Arabidopsis thaliana: one gene and its partners. The protein of the gene in region 1 interacts with the protein of each later gene in a pairwise test. Each region holds a gene or a part of one and is shown in the gene's direction. Other genes may lie near its edges.

Region 1 (5,997 bases):
TCCATTTGATGAATTTAGGTTTTACTTTGTCTGAGAATTGTTGTGGAGAAGTTTGATCAATAAGACTTCACTTCAATGATCCAGAAAGGAGAATAACATTGAGGTAAAGAGGTCAAAACATGAACAATACAATGGCAAGTTCTTGTATATACCAAGGAATTTCAAAAGCCTGTGCTCAAGGCAGAAGAAGTGGGAAACCAAACATCTAATTTTCACAGCTGATGATTTGGTAAATCTAATCTCAGCTCTTCTACAACCACCATTTGGTCAATGCACTGGCAAAACTCGAAAGCTCAACGCATATTTCCCTCTCTCAAGACATCGATCATGTTGTAGATTCGCTGATCTGCTTTCAATCGAATCTGCATTTCACAAAAGTGTTGAATCAACAATTAGCATTATAGAGAAGAGCGGTGAGACTCAGAGAAAGCTGAGATTCAATTTCGCAGAATCATGATGAGCAATAAGAGCAAGCTTTAGAACCTTTTTGGCGAGGAAGAGCACGGCATCAACAGTACCCTCAGCATAAATTGATCGGCCGCAGACATTGTGCTGGAACTCGAAGGAGACACTGCAAAGAAAGACAAAGAAAAGGGAGCTAGTTATGGAACAGAGACACTTTTACAATGGAAACAAAGAAAAGTATAAACAATATCTTAGATATTGCATTACGTTTCATCGGGTGATGTCAAGTGATAAAGATGGAAAGCGTGACCAGAGATATGCTCCTCAGGTACACCCACCATCTCCACTTGCTGTTTTGGATCCCGAATCAATTGTATCTGCCACAAAAGTTGTATACACAGAAAATTCACATTCCGAGGATAAATTAAGTGATTGCCAAGATGTAAACAATAAAGGATGACCAATGCACCTGATCCATGTCGTAAGACACACCCAATTCCTGGAAGCAAGAAATAACAGCTTTTGCTGTTCCGGATGCATCCAATTTGCTAGCTTGATGAGACTCCATCACCTACATATAGATTGGCAGTTGATTAGATGTAGCAAGAAGTAATATAAAACTAACAGAGAAAGAAAAAAGAATTTGAATGTATAAAAGAAGTAAGAAAAGTACATCCAAGGAATAACCAGAAAAGGCTCCCGGAAACTGCTCAGCCATGATCTCCATGGCCGCAAGAAATGCTACAACCTATAGACCAACAAAGCACACAAATATGAGCAAAAATGATCTTAACTTACATGCATAAGTAATCATTTCTTCCAGAAACATTCAAGTACACATACCTGTTTACCCATCTGTGGAGAAATCACAGCATAAATCTTTGCTTCCTCAACAGTTTCATACAATTTGTTCCTATCTCCACCAGTTGTTCCCATGACGAAAGGAACACCTACTTTGCTATACAGCTCCGCATTATCTACATTTTGCGAGAATACCAAACTTGAAATCAACAAACAATAGACAAAAAAAACACTTCTAGCAGATGATTTTCACTTGCACAAATTCTAAACTAACTCAATCAAGGATCGTTCCGCCAACCAGAATTCAACCATAACTTCAACAAATCTAGAATACAATTGTCTTTTGATGGTAGAAATGAGAGATTCTGAAGTTTACCATTTACTGCAGAGGGAATTGTGTAGTCGACAACAATTAGCTCCGGGTGCTTCTCAAACACCGAAGAAAGAACCTTTTCTCTTTCAGTTGGACCGTGCACAGTAATCTCCTTTCCACAGACCTCAACTCTCTGACCATCCTCACCAGCAGATCCAAACGATATGGGAACAATATTTACTCCTGCAGAGTCTGCTGCTTTAATTACAGCTTTCCCCATTTTGCCACTACATCCATTCACCTGTAGAATAAGAGATAATGAATATAGCTAAATCCAACATAAAAATCCCCATTTCAAAAGGAACAAGCTTTGACATTTCTACATTTCAAACTTAAATGGTAATGCAAAGTCAAATCTCACAACTTTGAGTCTAAGAGAAATCATCAGATGATCAGGTTTACCATGATGGATATGCCATTTCCAGGCAAAACAGATTTCACGGCCTCCTCACCGGAATCCGCCATCGCCGTCATGGATAAAACCACCGGAAGACGACGTGTCCCAATGCCCATGAAACTAACACGGCCTTTACCGTATTTTCCTACAGTCTGATTCGTTCTAGAAGCAAATGCGATACGCGGGCGATGAAGAAACACACTGGACGACGCCATTAACCTGTGATCAAATCGTTTAAATTCAATAGAATCCTCTTAAAGAGTTTAAAGCTCATCTCCGTCAATCAAAACGTGAAATTCGTAGGTTTCGAAACGTACCCATTCGTAGCCATAAAGGAATTTACTCTCCAGGATACGGAAGTTTTGTTCTTTGTTACGACGGAGTCAAAAGTTTAAATCTTTCACTTTTGTCTGAAAATTTCCGGCCGGTGAGAGTGATTGGGGATGTAGGGTTTAGCTTATCCCTTTTCATCAAACCGGAAATCTCTAACCAAACTAATAGATTCAATGAAACCGTAATTTTAATGAAAATAATAAACCGGAAGCCTTGAACCGATTTGATAAGCTAATGGACCTCACAGTCTCACTCTTAACCTGAAGAACGAAGAACCGTCTCTAAAACTCCGACGAACGAAAAATGAAGTCATTAGCTTCGCCGCCGTGTCTCCGCCTGATACCGACGGCACACCGTCAGCTCAATTCGCGTCAATCTTCCTCCGCCTGTTATATACACGGTGGCTCTTCTGTGAACAAATCCAATAATCTCTCATTCTCCTCATCCACATCCGGTAAGCTTGCTTTCTCTCACTTCTCTTATAATAACTCAAATCGTTTTTTCGCAATTTCGTGATTGAGATGTTAACATTTGGTGTTAGGATTTGCGTCACCACTAGCTGTAGAGAAGGAATTACGCTCTTCATTCGTACAGACGGCTGCTGTTCGCCATGTTACGGGGTCTCTTATCAGAGGCGAAGGTCTTAGATTCGCCATCGTGAGTTCTCAGAATCGCTTTCTTACTTTGTGCGCTGCTTAGATTTAGTGACTTGGTTCTGATTTACAGTGAAATTTGAAAACTTTGAGCTCAATTGCAGTGTTGACTTGGTTCTGATTCATTTTTCTTTCTCAAGGTGGTAGCTCGTTTCAATGAGGTTGTGACTAAGTTGCTTTTGGAAGGAGCGATTGAGACTTTCAAGAAGTATTCAGTCAGAGAAGAAGACATTGAAGTAAAAGTCTTTTGCTTGTAGAACAGAATAAAAAGTTATGAGCTTTCACAAAGCTAATGACACTGTTTTTATTCAGGTTATTTGGGTTCCTGGCAGCTTTGAAATTGGTGTTGTTGCACAAAATCTTGGGAAATCGGGAAAATTTCATGCTGTTTTATGTATCGGCGCTGTGGTATGATTCTTGTTTTGAAAGAATCTCAGGCTATTCCATTTGTTTTTCTCCTCATATGGCTTCAGAAAGTAGTTGCTTTATGTTGATAACATATACTTAAAGAGTTGGATTTTGATATTACTGTTGTCCTTGTTGTGGTTTAGATAAGAGGAGATACCACACATTATGATGCTGTTGCCAACTCTGCTGCGTCTGGAGTACTTTCTGCTAGCATAAATTCAGGTTTACCTCGATACTTATTTGCTGGATATACATCTTTAGACATTTTTATTTGACATTGTTTTGGAAACACTGAAAGATTGATTTTGTATACTTCCGAACCTAAAAGAGCGGGTAGTTCATTTTTGCTTTTCTTTGGATTTTGGATGTTTAAATTCCCTCATCATGAATTACTTCTTCAAATTTTGTGTTTACGCACTATTGACTCTAGTAATTAAAGCTTATAAAAAATCCAATTTGCAGGCGTTCCATGCATATTTGGTGTACTGACTTGCGAGGACATGGATCAGGTTTAAGTTGTGTTATGCAAGAGTTGATGATATATAGCTTATTCATCATAATGGATGAACACTGAATTTGTTAATATTGTGGTTAACTGAAACTCTAGGCTCTGAATCGATCTGGTGGCAAAGCCGGCAATAAGGGAGCTGAAACTGCTTTGACGGCGGTAAGTATCATTATGATTCAATCCTTTATTGTTAGAATAAGATGTAGAAATTCCTGATCATTCCATTGAGCAACTGGTCATGTTATAACCATTCGGGTTCTTATGTCTTTTTGGTAAAGTCTTTGAATATTTCTTCCTCTTGTTTTTCAGCTCGAAATGGCGTCGTTGTTTGAGCACCACCTGAAATAGCTCGGCTCGTTCGATGGATGAACATGATCACGTATGAGAACCTCTTGATGTTGTCCCATTTGGTTACAATCCAGTCTCTGAAATTGTTTGTACCTCAAAGATTGTCAAAATGTTTTACCCTTGGTTACAAAATCATTTAAACGCTTTTGTAAGCTTCTGGCCTTGTTTTTTTTTTTTGAATCGTATGATAATAATAATTCCTCCGAATTTTGGGGGTCTTTCTGTACTAATCAAAAATGTGATCTTCTTTGTTGTAATATCTTGAAATTGAGGTGTCGAAATGGATGTCAATTTTAAAAGCCAATAAGGATCTTACACGACGAAAATTTTGTCGGCGAGCGAAGATTACGCGTCACATTGATAATAGTTAATATAAAGTTCAACGGATCAACCAATTCCACAATCTATAATCATTTTGTGACTCTTGGAGCACTCTCTTCTCTTTGTCTCTGTGACTCACATTCATCCAATCCAGGTAAAAATCAAATCCACTAAGTTTTATTTCTCTTCATTGTTGTTCTTGCGTTGATCCTTCATGATTTGATCGGAATACATGGAAAAAGGTGGTGTAATTAGATCGAGCTTTTTGTTTCTCCGATCTGTTTGACATTTAGGTTGATCTAGTGCTATCATGTGTAGATCGAACATTCGGATCTGTATTTCCCACGAATCCTCTTGATTCACGTGATATGATCATTGTCTCTTAGTACAGAGATGCATTGTATGTTCTTTGGTTTGGGATATTCCACTAGGATCCTAGTTGATGATATCTAATGTGATGCGAGTTCTCTATGGTCTTTGGTGAGAAACTTTGTTTTGGTGATTATAGCCTCTTACAACTACTAAAAACTGTGATTACACTTTGTTTGACTTTTACAACCATTGTCCTGCTGTGATTGATGAATCTACTCTCGGCGTTGAATGCTTGAAGTTTTGTCTATTCTTTGATACTCTAAGCTTTTGTTTCTGTGGCACTAATTGACTTTTCTTGCTGCTTAGGAGGCATGTCGACATCTGAGGATAAACCGGAAATCATCAGTAGAGTAGTTCATCAGGAGGGTGACGTGGAAATCGTCGATAGAAGTCAGAAGGATAAGGACGAGGAAAAAGAAGAAGGGAAAGGTGGATTCCTCGATAAGGTGAAAGATTTCATTCATGACATTGGTGAGAAACTCGAGGGAACCATTGGCTTTGGGAAGCCAACTGCTGATGTCTCTGCGATTCATATCCCTAAGATCAATCTTGAGAGGGCAGATATTGTTGTGGATGTGCTTGTCAAGAACCCGAATCCAGTTCCTATCCCTCTCATCGATGTCAACTACCTGGTCGAGAGCGATGGGAGGAAACTGGTTTCTGGTTTGATCCCGGATGCTGGAACACTCAAGGCTCATGGAGAAGAAACTGTGAAGATACCATTGACGTTGATCTATGATGACATCAAGAGCACTTACAACGATATCAACCCCGGGATGATCATACCTTACAGAATCAAGGTTGATCTGATTGTGGATGTGCCAGTATTGGGAAGACTGACATTGCCGCTGGAGAAATGTGGAGAGATCCCAATTCCAAAGAAACCTGATGTTGATATCGAGAAGATTAAGTTCCAGAAGTTCTCTTTGGAGGAAACCGTGGCGATTCTCCATGTGAGGCTTCAGAACATGAATGATTTCGACTTGGGGCTCAATGACTTGGACTGTGAAGTTTGGCTGTGTGATGTAAGCATTGGGAAAGCAGAGATCGCGGACTCGATCAAGCTTGACAAAAACGG
Region 2 (5,415 bases), about 18 Mb from region 1:
GTCAGGTATCACTTTCGCCTCCTTTACCCAGCAGTACTATAAATTCCTGGATCTCTCTCCTTCGTTTTCGTGAGCATGCCTTGTTTATCGATTGTTCAAATTAGGAAGAGAACAGAATTTTGGACAAGTTGCACAGACAAAAGGTTGCAGAAGTTGAAAAGTTTACCCAGACCGTACGGGAGCTTGAAGAAGCTGTTCTTGCTGGTGGTACAGCTGCAAATGCAGTGAGAGATTACCAGAGGAAATTTCAAGAAATGAATGTAATAATTAAATTACACGTTTAGTGCCTCATTAGCCTATTGCTACCCTTGTACTTAAAATTCAATTCCTGTGCTAATCATAGCTATGGCCATTAATCCTTTCATTAGGAAGAGAGGAGAATCCTTGATCGGGAACTGGCTCGTGCCAAAGTAAGTGCAAGCAGGGTTGCAACTGTAGTGGCAAATGAGTGGAAAGATGGTAGCGATAAAGTGATGCCTGTGAAGCAATGGCTCGAAGAACGAAGATTTCTGCAGGTTACTTTTGATATTTTATTTTTGGGCTTCTGTTACTGCTTCGAGTTGTGATTCATATTCACAGGAACCATTGTAACTTGAGTAAGTGCATTCTTTAACCATTTTCCTGTTTCTTTTTGGACAGGGAGAAATGCAACAACTACGTGACAAACTTGCCATAGCTGATCGAGCTGCAAAATCTGAAGCTCAGCTAAAGGTAAGAATTCGGAGTTCAGATCCATATAGCTTTAGTCTTCTTTATGTCCTTATGTATCAAGGCTTTAATTAGAATTGCTGCTTTTGCCTTTTGCAGGAGAAATTTCAACTGCGGCTTAGAGTCTTAGAAGAGAGTTTAAGAGGGCCTTCAAGCAGTGGAAACCGATCGACACCTGAGGGAAGAAGTATGAGCAACGGGCCTTCTCGAAGACAATCCCTTGGCGGAGCTGATATTATTCCGAAACTGACATCAAATGGATTTTTCTCCAAGAGGTCACCAAGTTCTCAGTTTAGATCTTTGAATGCTAGTACAAGCACAATATTGAAGCATGCGAAAGGAACATCCAGATCATTTGACGGAGGCAGTAGATCTTTAGATAGGAGTAAAGTACTAACAAACGAACCCAGATCGAAGTTTCCATTGAACCAATCTTCTGAAGGAACAAGCGGAGGCGGGTCACCTAATTCAACAAAACAAGGAGATTCAGAGAAAGCAGCAGGGACAAATAATGATAGTGTCCCAGGAGTATTACATGATTTGCTTCAAAAGGAGGTGATAACTTTAAGGAAAGCTGCTAATGATAAAGATCAAAGCCTTAGAGATAAAGACGAAGCTATTGAGGTTAGTCATTAGTTTTACACCTTTCCAAGAAACGTTTGCTTATATTTATTTATATTCTCTGATCAAAATACTTGGGCTTGTGTTTGCTTTTAGATGTTGGCCAAGAAGGTTGAAACACTAACAAAGGCGATGGAAGTGGAAGCAAAGAAGATGCGAAGAGAAGTAGCAGCAATGGAGAAAGAGGTTTCAGCTATGCGTGTGGATAACAAAGGATCAGATAGTAGAACGAGACGTCACTCTACTAACTCAAAAGGAGCTTCAACAACTGCACAGTTACTTTCTGGAAGGTACCTGATGTTTTCTTATTATAATGACCCAATGTAACGATTATAAGTTGGTTAGGTTAGTTTTCTTTAACACTTGAACGTTTGCTTTGCATTGTTGTTTTAGCAGAGGCTCAGGACGAATGGGGATGACGAGGAGCACGCAGTGATCAAAGAAGTCGATTCCACGAGCAAAATATGAATCTCAATTCAGTGGTTAATAGATTGAAGGAATGACAAAAAGCATACAAATATAGAAATCCAATATGGGAGGTTTGTGTGCTTCTTAACATAGTAAGATTTCAAAGTTAAAAACTGATTTTTAATTTCTTGGCTGATGTTTATTGTTTTCCTCATATATAGAAAAGAGTTAGGTTTGTGTTTTAACTACTAACTTGAGCTTAGTGTGTGATTTATTGTATCTCTCTCTATCTTACCTTTGTCCATTTTTCTCATTTTGGGGTATGTTATAGATTTAAGAAATTAGTTCAGAAACAGAGGTGAGAGTTATTAGTGAAAAAATTGAAATTGTCATTAGTTTCATTGATCCAGACACAACATTCACTAACATTAGTTGAGTCTGGTCTCCTTGAAGGCTTGAAAAGAGATGTCCCTTTGAATATAATGAATCTGTGAAGGATCAAAAGGACCTCTCACTCTATCAATCTTTGTAATGACTGCTCTCTCCGGCAACACACTCCTCGCCGGATCCACCGCCGTTTCTCCGCTCAAGCACGACGACACTCCTTTAAAGATTACAACTTCCACTTCTTCATCGTCGACAATGGCCGTCACTATAAGCGCTTCTTCTCTACACGACTGGCTATATATCTCCAACATCGCCATTTCCTCGTTGTATCCATACATTTCATCTTCATCTTCACCACCTCCCTCGTCTCTCACCCTTCTCCGAGCACCGCACCAGAACATCTTCAAAGCTCTTCTTCTCTCCGCCACTGGAGGGACGGTGAAAAGTTTTTTCCGGTAGTTATACGAGTTTGTGAGCGAGGGTATTTTAGTCATTTGATCTTTCTGTCCGAAAACGAATAATCCGGCTATGCCACCGGATAAATTCGCCGGCGTGATAAGCATTCTGATATTGTAGTGCATGAGGACCGTGACTTTGTCTATAGATAAGATTTTAAAGGACTCGTGTATGTTTACAAATAAGGGTAGTACCAATTGGATTAATTACAACAGAGTGCCACTACAGCTATTACCAGTCGCTTTCGTTGCCTCTCTCTTCAAACCAGTGGCTACTTACTCAACACTGTACGTCTTCAATCATTTCTTCTTCTTTCTTCTCCAACCAAAATCTCTTTCTCAGTTCTCTAGGGTTTTCAATACTCACACCAAAGCTTAATGCCGATCAACGATCAGTTTCCTAGTGGGTTAAGAATACTCGTTGTAGACGATGATACTTCATGCTTGTTCATTCTCGAGAAAATGCTTCTCCGTCTCATGTACCAAGGTCTAATTCTTTATCAAAGTTCCCACCTTTTAATAGATTTTCTCAAGAAAGTTTTAACATTTTTGTTTTATCTTCTCTTTGTAGTTACAATTTGCTCACAAGCTGATGTTGCGTTAACCATTCTAAGAGAAAGAAAAGACAGTTTTGATTTGGTGCTAAGTGATGTTCATATGCCTGGTATGAATGGTTACAATCTTCTTCAACAAGTTGGTCTTCTTGAAATGGATCTTCCTGTCATTAGTAAGACTCTGTTGTTATGTTTTGTCTCTAAAGATTGAATCTTTGCATCAATGTTTCTTACATTTGCTCTGTTTCTAGTGATGTCTGTTGATGGAAGAACAACTACAGTCATGACTGGAATCAACCATGGAGCTTGTGATTATCTAATCAAACCTATTCGTCCTGAAGAGCTTAAGAACATTTGGCAACATGTTGTTAGAAGGAAATGTGTGATGAAGAAAGAGCTTCGAAGTTCTCAAGCTTTAGAGGATAACAAGAACAGTGGTAGCCTCGAGACTGTTGTTGTTTCGGTTAGTGAATGCTCAGAGGAAAGTTTGATGAAATGTAGGAATAAGAAGAAGAAGAAGAAGAGAAGTGTTGATAGAGATGATAATGAAGATGATCTTCTTCTTGATCCTGGAAACTCGAAGAAGTCACGCGTTGTTTGGTCTATTGAATTGCATCAACAATTCGTTAATGCCGTAAACAAACTTGGAATTGACAGTATGATCCTAAACACTATCTTATTGCTTGTAGAAGAAATTCAAAGTAATTTGTGCTTATAAGAATCTCTCTTATTGTTTCAGAAGCTGTACCAAAGCGGATTCTCGAGTTGATGAATGTTCCTGGTTTAAGCAGAGAAAACGTGGCTAGTCATTTACAGGTTTCTTTGATTGATTGATTGAATCTTTCTTCTTATTAGGGTCTCTATAAGGGTTATGACTGAATCAATACCATTTGCAGAAGTTCCGATTGTATTTGAAGAGATTAAGCGGTGAAGCTTCGCAGAGTAATGACTCTGAGTCTACCAAAAGATATGAAAACATTCAAGCTCTGGTTTCCTCAGGACAATTACATCCACAGACATTAGCTGCATTGTTTGGTCAACCAATAGACAATCATCACTCTGCTAGTTTTGGAGTTTGGATTCCTAATGACAATCTTGGTAGATCTCAAAATGAACACTTCTCGGTTGATGTATCATCCGCTTCTAACCGTCCTGTTTCTGTGGCGGTTCATGGTCTATCTTCCTCAGCAAATTTCAGACAGAGAGGTGACGTTAACAACAACAGAATCAGACAAGGGTATGGATCAAATGTCAATGAAGAATCTTGGATCTTGGAAAGATCTTCAAGACAAAGATAGTGACCAATATGGATACGCTTAAGAAGAGAAGGCTCTGCAACTGTTTCTTTTAAATCTTCAGGAATGGATTAATGTCAGAAGAAAACTTGTGTGTCTGCAATGTTAGCTTAGGAAAGTAATTATGTAACCAATATTTTGAATTGTTATCTCTCACTTTATTATGGTTGCCAAAAGTTTTAGCCTGATAATAACCACAAGACATGCAACAAACAAGTCTCAAAGTACACAAAACATCAAACGCAACACTAGTTTTGTTACTGCTAATGTTGCACAACTTTAGCCAAACAAAAAGCAGCAGCTGAAGCAATCGCTCCTATAAAGGCGGTTTCAAACGCACTTCTGAGGGGCTTGCTTCCAGTGAAATGCCCTTTTGCATAGCCAAATATGAAGAGCGCAAACAGAGTTATAACCACAGACGCCACTACCGCATCCATGGCATGCGGTATGAGCATGTAGGGAAGTAACGGTATAAAACCGCCAAGAACATAAGCGATTGCAATCGTGAACGCGCTTTGTAACGCTCTTTTTGGATCAGGCTTCTCTAATCCCAGCTCAAACCTGTAACGAAACAATAAAGTCTCACTTATATAACAAGTTACATGCTTATAGTAGGAATATAAACATTTTGTGATAGGTAAAGAGTGTTAAACTTAACCAAATCAATAAGATAAGTTTTTATATTCACGTAATTTGTTGTTTTCTGTTTGTTACTATTCACGTACTTTATTTGTTGCAACAAAAAAGATTAAAATTGGAAGTCGGACCATATAAGAATCTTGCCCACACCTGGAAAGTATAAGCTCAGCTTTTGCAGAAATCTAAAAGTATCCCTCGATTTTCTCTTTAATTAAGACTATATAATATACATAAAATAATACTAATGGACTATATAGTATACATAAAATAACACTAATTTTCATTAGTGAGACTAACCTCATCATAAAATCAAGCCAAGCTTGAGGATTCTTACGAAGAGCATTAACT
Region 3 (5,608 bases), 7.8 Mb from region 1:
GAGGTTACATTGACTTCTACAAACTATTCAAATCGATAACTCTAATTCGCTAAGTAATCCCCAAATCTTTTCTCAGTATCTTTGGCATAAATAAAGCCAAATCTTCTCGAGTGAATAGCAATAATTATACATCATGGCTTATATATTGTATTTTTCTGATAACAAATGTGCATTATTTCTATCATCCACTAACTAATAATTAAAAATTCAATATTGACCGTACTATTATAAAAAAAAAAAACAATGGTTGGAAGTTTGAAATACGTAAACAACAAAAAAACAAAAAAAAATAAAACTTCGTTCGTTAGTACCGTATGAATTCATAGATACAACATATACAAAATAAGTATTTTACCCAACATGTGTCTTCTTTCACTGGTTTGATCTCATTCGTTTTGCATGGGCTAACAAAACAATTATTTCAAATACGCGAAGATTATTATTTCTATGCGACCATTTTATAGAAAAGATAATTTAGATAAGATATAAAGGAGACATTTTTAGAGGAGATAACATTGAAATATATAGTATAATATATTTTTAGAGATTCATAAATTATAAATTTAGAAAAGGACATTAAAATTTGATATAGAAAAGGAATTTAAAAGTAAGTAAAAGTTTACAAAATCAGAAATGAAAAAATAAAATGCTTTTAAAAAAAATGTAGACGTGCACGACAATCATATATATTAGTCGGTTAGGTCAACGATTCCCATGTCGCTAATTTATAATGCATTCCGTTGACAAATATTTAAAAATGTTTCAATTATACATCTTGAGGTCTGTTTTTGCACACATAACACGTCATATATCATTGACAAAGAAAACACGTCGTAATTTTCTTTTTCTTTTTCTTTCATGTAGTCTTCTTGGCTTAAAAGAATTCAGCTAAGTAAGTATGGTTGATATTTTCTTCTACAAGTGATAAAACTTTGGAATTTTTGAATAAGTATAATTACAAGAAAACACTGCATATAACAACTACAAGAAAACACTGCATATACCAAAATTATCGAAACATGTATATTCCGACAAACTGAAATCACCGGAAAACGGTGGTGTATTGAAACAAAGAGTTGTTTTAACTGAAGTTTGAAAGTAAACAAAAGATTAAAAAGTAATTTATAGTAATGTTAATATTTACTCATGTTTCTGCTTTGGTGATTAGTAATAAATCTTCTAAAATCTATATGCCATTTTATAAATGCGATTAAAAATTTACCAATTAAACCTTATTTAGAAAAATGTAGAGAAAACTTCAAATTATCTCCTCAAGTAGGATTAGATCGAGCTGCAAATTGGCTCTTTTTATTCATTTAATTTCCTCCATTCCTAACTGTATTGGTATTGTTTACTTTATTTCTATAAGCAACAAAAAAAAAAGAATCTTGTGGACAGGTGACAATTTATGAGTCAGCCAGAATTGCCACGTGTCGGAAGATCAGTTGCCGTGGTAAAAGGTGTTTTTTAGATTCTCAAAAAAAAAGTAGTTAAAGAGAATAATATCAAAGAGTCAACTCCACAGTTCACAGATCCACCGTTGGATCTAACTTTTGGATTATCAACGGCCCAGATAATAGTTAACCGGAATCACTCGGTTACCGAGGTAGTCAATAGTTCTGTGTTTTAAAAAGAAATGCGTCCATGTGATCACTTTTATTTTATTTGTAGTCAGCTTTTGTTTTCCTACTTTGTCGTTTTTCTTTATCGCTGTTCTCAACTAAAGACTTGTAGACTATACTAATAAGATATAGTCAACGATTGTCGCTGTTATTATAGCCTTTAATCTCTATTAATGATTGTTAATTGTTCCACAATCTGTGTAGATTAATTAGGTAAAATTAAAAGTCAAGAAAAGATTGTTTTCAATTTACTAGTTTTCCAGTCAAGACGTTTTCTAGAAGGCTATGAGGTAAGAAAAAAAAAATATATATTAGGTGCAAAGTTAATATGGGAGTCAAATATTATTTTCAAATAATTATTATTGTCAATGCACTGCAAAATTAGTAATAATTCTAGAAAGAAATTGAAATAATAAAAATATGCTGCAAACACGAGTTTGGTATGTGTGCACCATATAATATTGACAAGTTGTAGTGTTGGTTGAAGCTAAAAATAACACAAAAACATAAAAAGAACATGAATAACGCCTAAAACTTAACACGAATAAAATAAAAAAACATAAAATATATTATCAAAAGTCAAAATCACAAAAGAAATTAATACCATTTTACAATTAGCTGAAAATTTATTCTATCAAAATCCAGTCCTATTAAAGAAAAATATGTGATTTGAGATGAAATTAATATTACATATTTTGATTTGGTTCAAGAATAAATTATGGATTTTGGTTAAAGACCTTCTAATATTCCAAAGAAACAAAAAAAAATCAGCCCAATTGTTCATACAAATAAAAACAATTCATTACCTTTAATTTTAAATTTATTGACTTGAACTTGAAGACATAAGATACCTAATAAAAGAAAAAATAGATATGAGACTTTAAAAAAGCTTTATGATTTTCTTTAGACACCATCCTTTAATGTTTTTTATTTGACTTTTTGTTTCTTTGAAATTCCTTTACCACCATTTTCCCCAAATTCAAGTTTACGCACAATGATTCCTTTATTTTAAAGACACGATTATAAATTCTTGCTTTGCACAAAAGAAGACCCTACATATCTCACAACTCAAGGAGACCAAACTTTGATTACTTTATTCCATAGAAATCTTCAACTCAATCTCAGCCGTTAGATCTAAAGCACCGATTTGACTAAACTCCATCTTAAACCTACTCAACCGGTCACTCGGTCACACCCATAACCCCATATATCACGCCAACGCCATTCTTTTTTCTTCCAGTTTCGCTCTCTCATTCATCAAAAAAAACTTGCACATCTTCTCAGATCTTCAAGTTTCTCCTCTGGTTTCTCATCATGACCGTTGATATTATGCGTTTACCTAAGATGGAAGATCAAACGGCTATACAAGAAGCTGCATCACAAGGCTTAAAAAGCATGGAACACTTGATTCGTGTCCTCTCTAACCGTCCCGAAGAACGTAACGTTGATTGCTCTGAGATCACTGATTTCACAGTTTCTAAGTTCAAGAAAGTTATCTCTCTTCTTAACCGTTCCGGTCACGCCCGGTTTAGACGTGGTCCGGTTCATTCCCCTCCTTCCTCCTCCGTTCCTCCACCGGTGAAAGTGACAACTCCGGCTCCCACTCAGATCTCTGCTCCAGCACCGGTTAGCTTCGTTCAGGCAAATCAACAAAGCGTGACGTTAGATTTCACTAGACCGAGCGTTTTTGGCGCTAAAACCAAGAGCTCGGAGGTTGTTGAGTTTGCTAAAGAGAGCTTTAGCGTATCTTCTAACTCTTCTTTCATGTCTTCTGCGATCACCGGTGATGGAAGTGTCTCTAAAGGCTCTTCGATCTTTCTTGCTCCGGCTCCAGCGGTGCCAGTGACTTCCTCCGGGAAACCGCCGCTTTCTGGTCTTCCTTACAGGAAGAGATGCTTTGAACATGACCACTCTGAAGGCTTTTCCGGCAAGATCTCTGGCTCCGGCAACGGCAAGTGCCATTGCAAGAAAAGGTATTGTTATTACTCCACAATAAATTAATCATTTGTTTGACTAGCCTAGTAGTAGTTAATTGTTTGGTTCGATACGGTCTAAACCAATCGCTCACGGACTCAGTGAAAATATATCACGAATTCAGATTTCAAAATTCTTTTTTTGCCTCGAATTTGTCAATCATGAACAAGTCTACTAGTTAAATTAACTAGTCTCAGTAAAAAATAAAGAATAAAAATCCGGGTTTAATACTTTGTAGACCGGTTTGGTACTATCTAAACCAATCGGTCAATGTATTTAGTGAAAGTCAACGACAGTAACTTAAACCAAAGTGCACGCCTGACAAGGACAAGTTAGTGGGTGCTGTCGTTTTGTATAGGGAAAGTTTTTACGTTTTAAAAGTCTTTGTCTGCCCGTTGACTTTTGCTAACCTGATGCATGTTCACGTTAGTCGTGTCAGCGCACGTTAAATCATTTCACTAATTACAATGTTTTATTATTTAATTAACAGCCGAAAAAATCGGATGAAGAGAACCGTGAGAGTACCGGCGGTAAGTGCAAAGATCGCCGATATACCACCAGACGAATATTCATGGAGAAAGTATGGACAAAAACCGATCAAAGGCTCACCACATCCACGGTAACTATCGTACACCATCGCTATCCACCGTTGATTTATTTGTGAAACATTGGAGATCTAACGGTTGTGATTTGTTTTTGTTGATTTCAGGGGTTATTACAAGTGTAGTACATTTAGAGGATGTCCAGCGAGGAAACACGTGGAAAGAGCTTTGGATGATTCAACGATGTTGATTGTGACGTACGAAGGAGAGCACCGTCATCACCAGTCCACGATGCAGGAGCATGTAACTCCTAGCGTGAGTGGTTTGGTGTTTGGTTCGGCTTGAAGAATTAATTAGTTTGGTAGTTTTGTAATATTTTGAGAAATAGAGGGGTTGGTTTTGTAATTTTTTTTCTATAACAAAATTAGTTTTAGATTTTTTTTTAGTAGTCTTTTGAATGGATTTTAATCTTACTACCGAGAAAGAAAAAATTCTTACTACATTTTCATAATTTCTTGTTTGATATATTTAGTGGTGTCATGTAAGAAAATGATGTTTAGCAAAGTAATTGGTATATAAATGTGTAGGCATATGTATTTAATGATATGGTTCGTAAAGTTACCATTACTCTGTTTGATCTAGTTATGATTTGTGATGGTTGATTTAGGGGAAAAATGTCATTTAATCCCCCAACTTTCAAAAAATGGCCATTTTATACATCAATTTCATATGTGGCCGTTTAAAACATGAACTAAACGTTGACTAATTTTTAAAACATGATCTTTCGTTGACCAGGCCAAAATAGACATGCCGTTATCAGTCATTAACGGAACTTCTAACGTCCGTTATCATTCGTTAACTTTATTAGTCAAGTTTCAAATTGTGGCCATTTTAAACATCAACTTCTTATGTGGCTATTTAAAACATGAATTAAACGTTGAATACCATTTAAAACATGAAAAATTCGTTGACCAGGCCAAAATAGACATGTCTTTATCAGTAGAACCTAGAAACCCGTTAATGACTGTTAATCTGTCCAAAATAACGTCGTTCAAGAATAATCGAAAGAACATAAAGATTTTTTCCATATGAAATCTCCATATCAAAAAGTTTTAAGCAGAACCCAAGAACATAGTTTGATAAAGAGATAATCGCAGTGCCAGTAATTGGAAGCAAATAAAGGTGTTTTCGTTTATATATTTGTTTTAAATTTTAAAAGGAATCATGGAAGCAAATTGAAGACTCATTATAAGATTGTTCGTCTTGTTTGAGCGGTTGTAAAAATAGATTTGGGGAAGTAGGGTTTCATTTAGAAAACAATCCTGATTTTCTTTTGATTACTCTCAAAACAAAGTCGTTTTAGGGATACTAATAGAGTCGTTAACAAGTGATAATGAATGTTATAAGTTCTTTTAATGAATGATGACAACATGTTTATTTTGGCTTGGTCAACGAATTTCTCATGTTTTA

What was found. Proteins that work in one complex are often made in the same cells at the same time.
Region 2: the proteins of COS1 (region 1) and RR14 interact in binary tests that used the Arabidopsis thaliana proteins (3 or more experiments, as listed by UniProt).
Region 3: the proteins of COS1 (region 1) and WRKY17 interact in binary tests that used the Arabidopsis thaliana proteins (3 or more experiments, as listed by UniProt).

What each region holds. Positions count from the first base shown.
Region 1 is NC_003071.7:18,221,692-18,227,688, forward strand, and holds COS1 (6,7-dimethyl-8-ribityllumazine synthase / DMRL synthase / lumazine synthase / riboflavin synthase), read left to right. Parts: upstream 1-2,521; 5' UTR 2,522-2,612; coding exon 2,613-2,763; intron 2,764-2,850; coding exon 2,851-2,966; intron 2,967-3,102; coding exon 3,103-3,198; intron 3,199-3,274; coding exon 3,275-3,370; intron 3,371-3,513; coding exon 3,514-3,592; intron 3,593-3,832; coding exon 3,833-3,879; intron 3,880-3,977; coding exon 3,978-4,037; intron 4,038-4,187; coding exon 4,188-4,226; 3' UTR 4,227-4,542; downstream 4,543-5,997. Other genes in the region: AT2G44040 (Dihydrodipicolinate reductase, bacterial/plant), read right to left, coding at 294-362, 484-571, 673-782, 875-976, 1,079-1,153, 1,249-1,382, 1,583-1,820, 1,982-2,195 and 1 more; AT2G44060 (Late embryogenesis abundant protein, group 2), read left to right, coding at 5,231-5,997. UniProt on the Arabidopsis thaliana protein: Catalyzes the formation of 6,7-dimethyl-8-ribityllumazine by condensation of 5-amino-6-(D-ribitylamino)uracil with 3,4-dihydroxy-2-butanone 4-phosphate. This is the penultimate step in the biosynthesis of riboflavin.
Region 2 is NC_003071.7:330,084-335,498, forward strand, and holds RR14 (response regulator 14), read left to right. Parts: upstream 1-2,818; 5' UTR 2,819-2,957; coding exon 2,958-3,306; intron 3,307-3,384; coding exon 3,385-3,789; intron 3,790-3,872; coding exon 3,873-3,949; intron 3,950-4,029; coding exon 4,030-4,431; 3' UTR 4,432-4,613; downstream 4,614-5,415. Other genes in the region: MAP70-3 (microtubule-associated proteins 70-3), read left to right, coding at 1-5, 105-260, 369-515, 640-711, 808-1,332, 1,426-1,619, 1,723-1,765; AT2G01755 (uncharacterized protein), read right to left, coding at 2,166-2,705; VIT1 (vacuolar iron transporter 1), read right to left, coding at 4,692-4,989, 5,365-5,415. UniProt on the Arabidopsis thaliana protein: Transcriptional activator that binds specifically to the DNA sequence 5'-[AG]GATT-3'. Functions as a response regulator involved in His-to-Asp phosphorelay signal transduction system.
Region 3 is NC_003071.7:10,436,551-10,442,158, reverse strand, and holds WRKY17 (WRKY DNA-binding protein 17), read left to right. Parts: upstream 1-2,689; 5' UTR 2,690-2,936; coding exon 2,937-3,595; intron 3,596-4,086; coding exon 4,087-4,215; intron 4,216-4,305; coding exon 4,306-4,483; 3' UTR 4,484-4,806; downstream 4,807-5,608.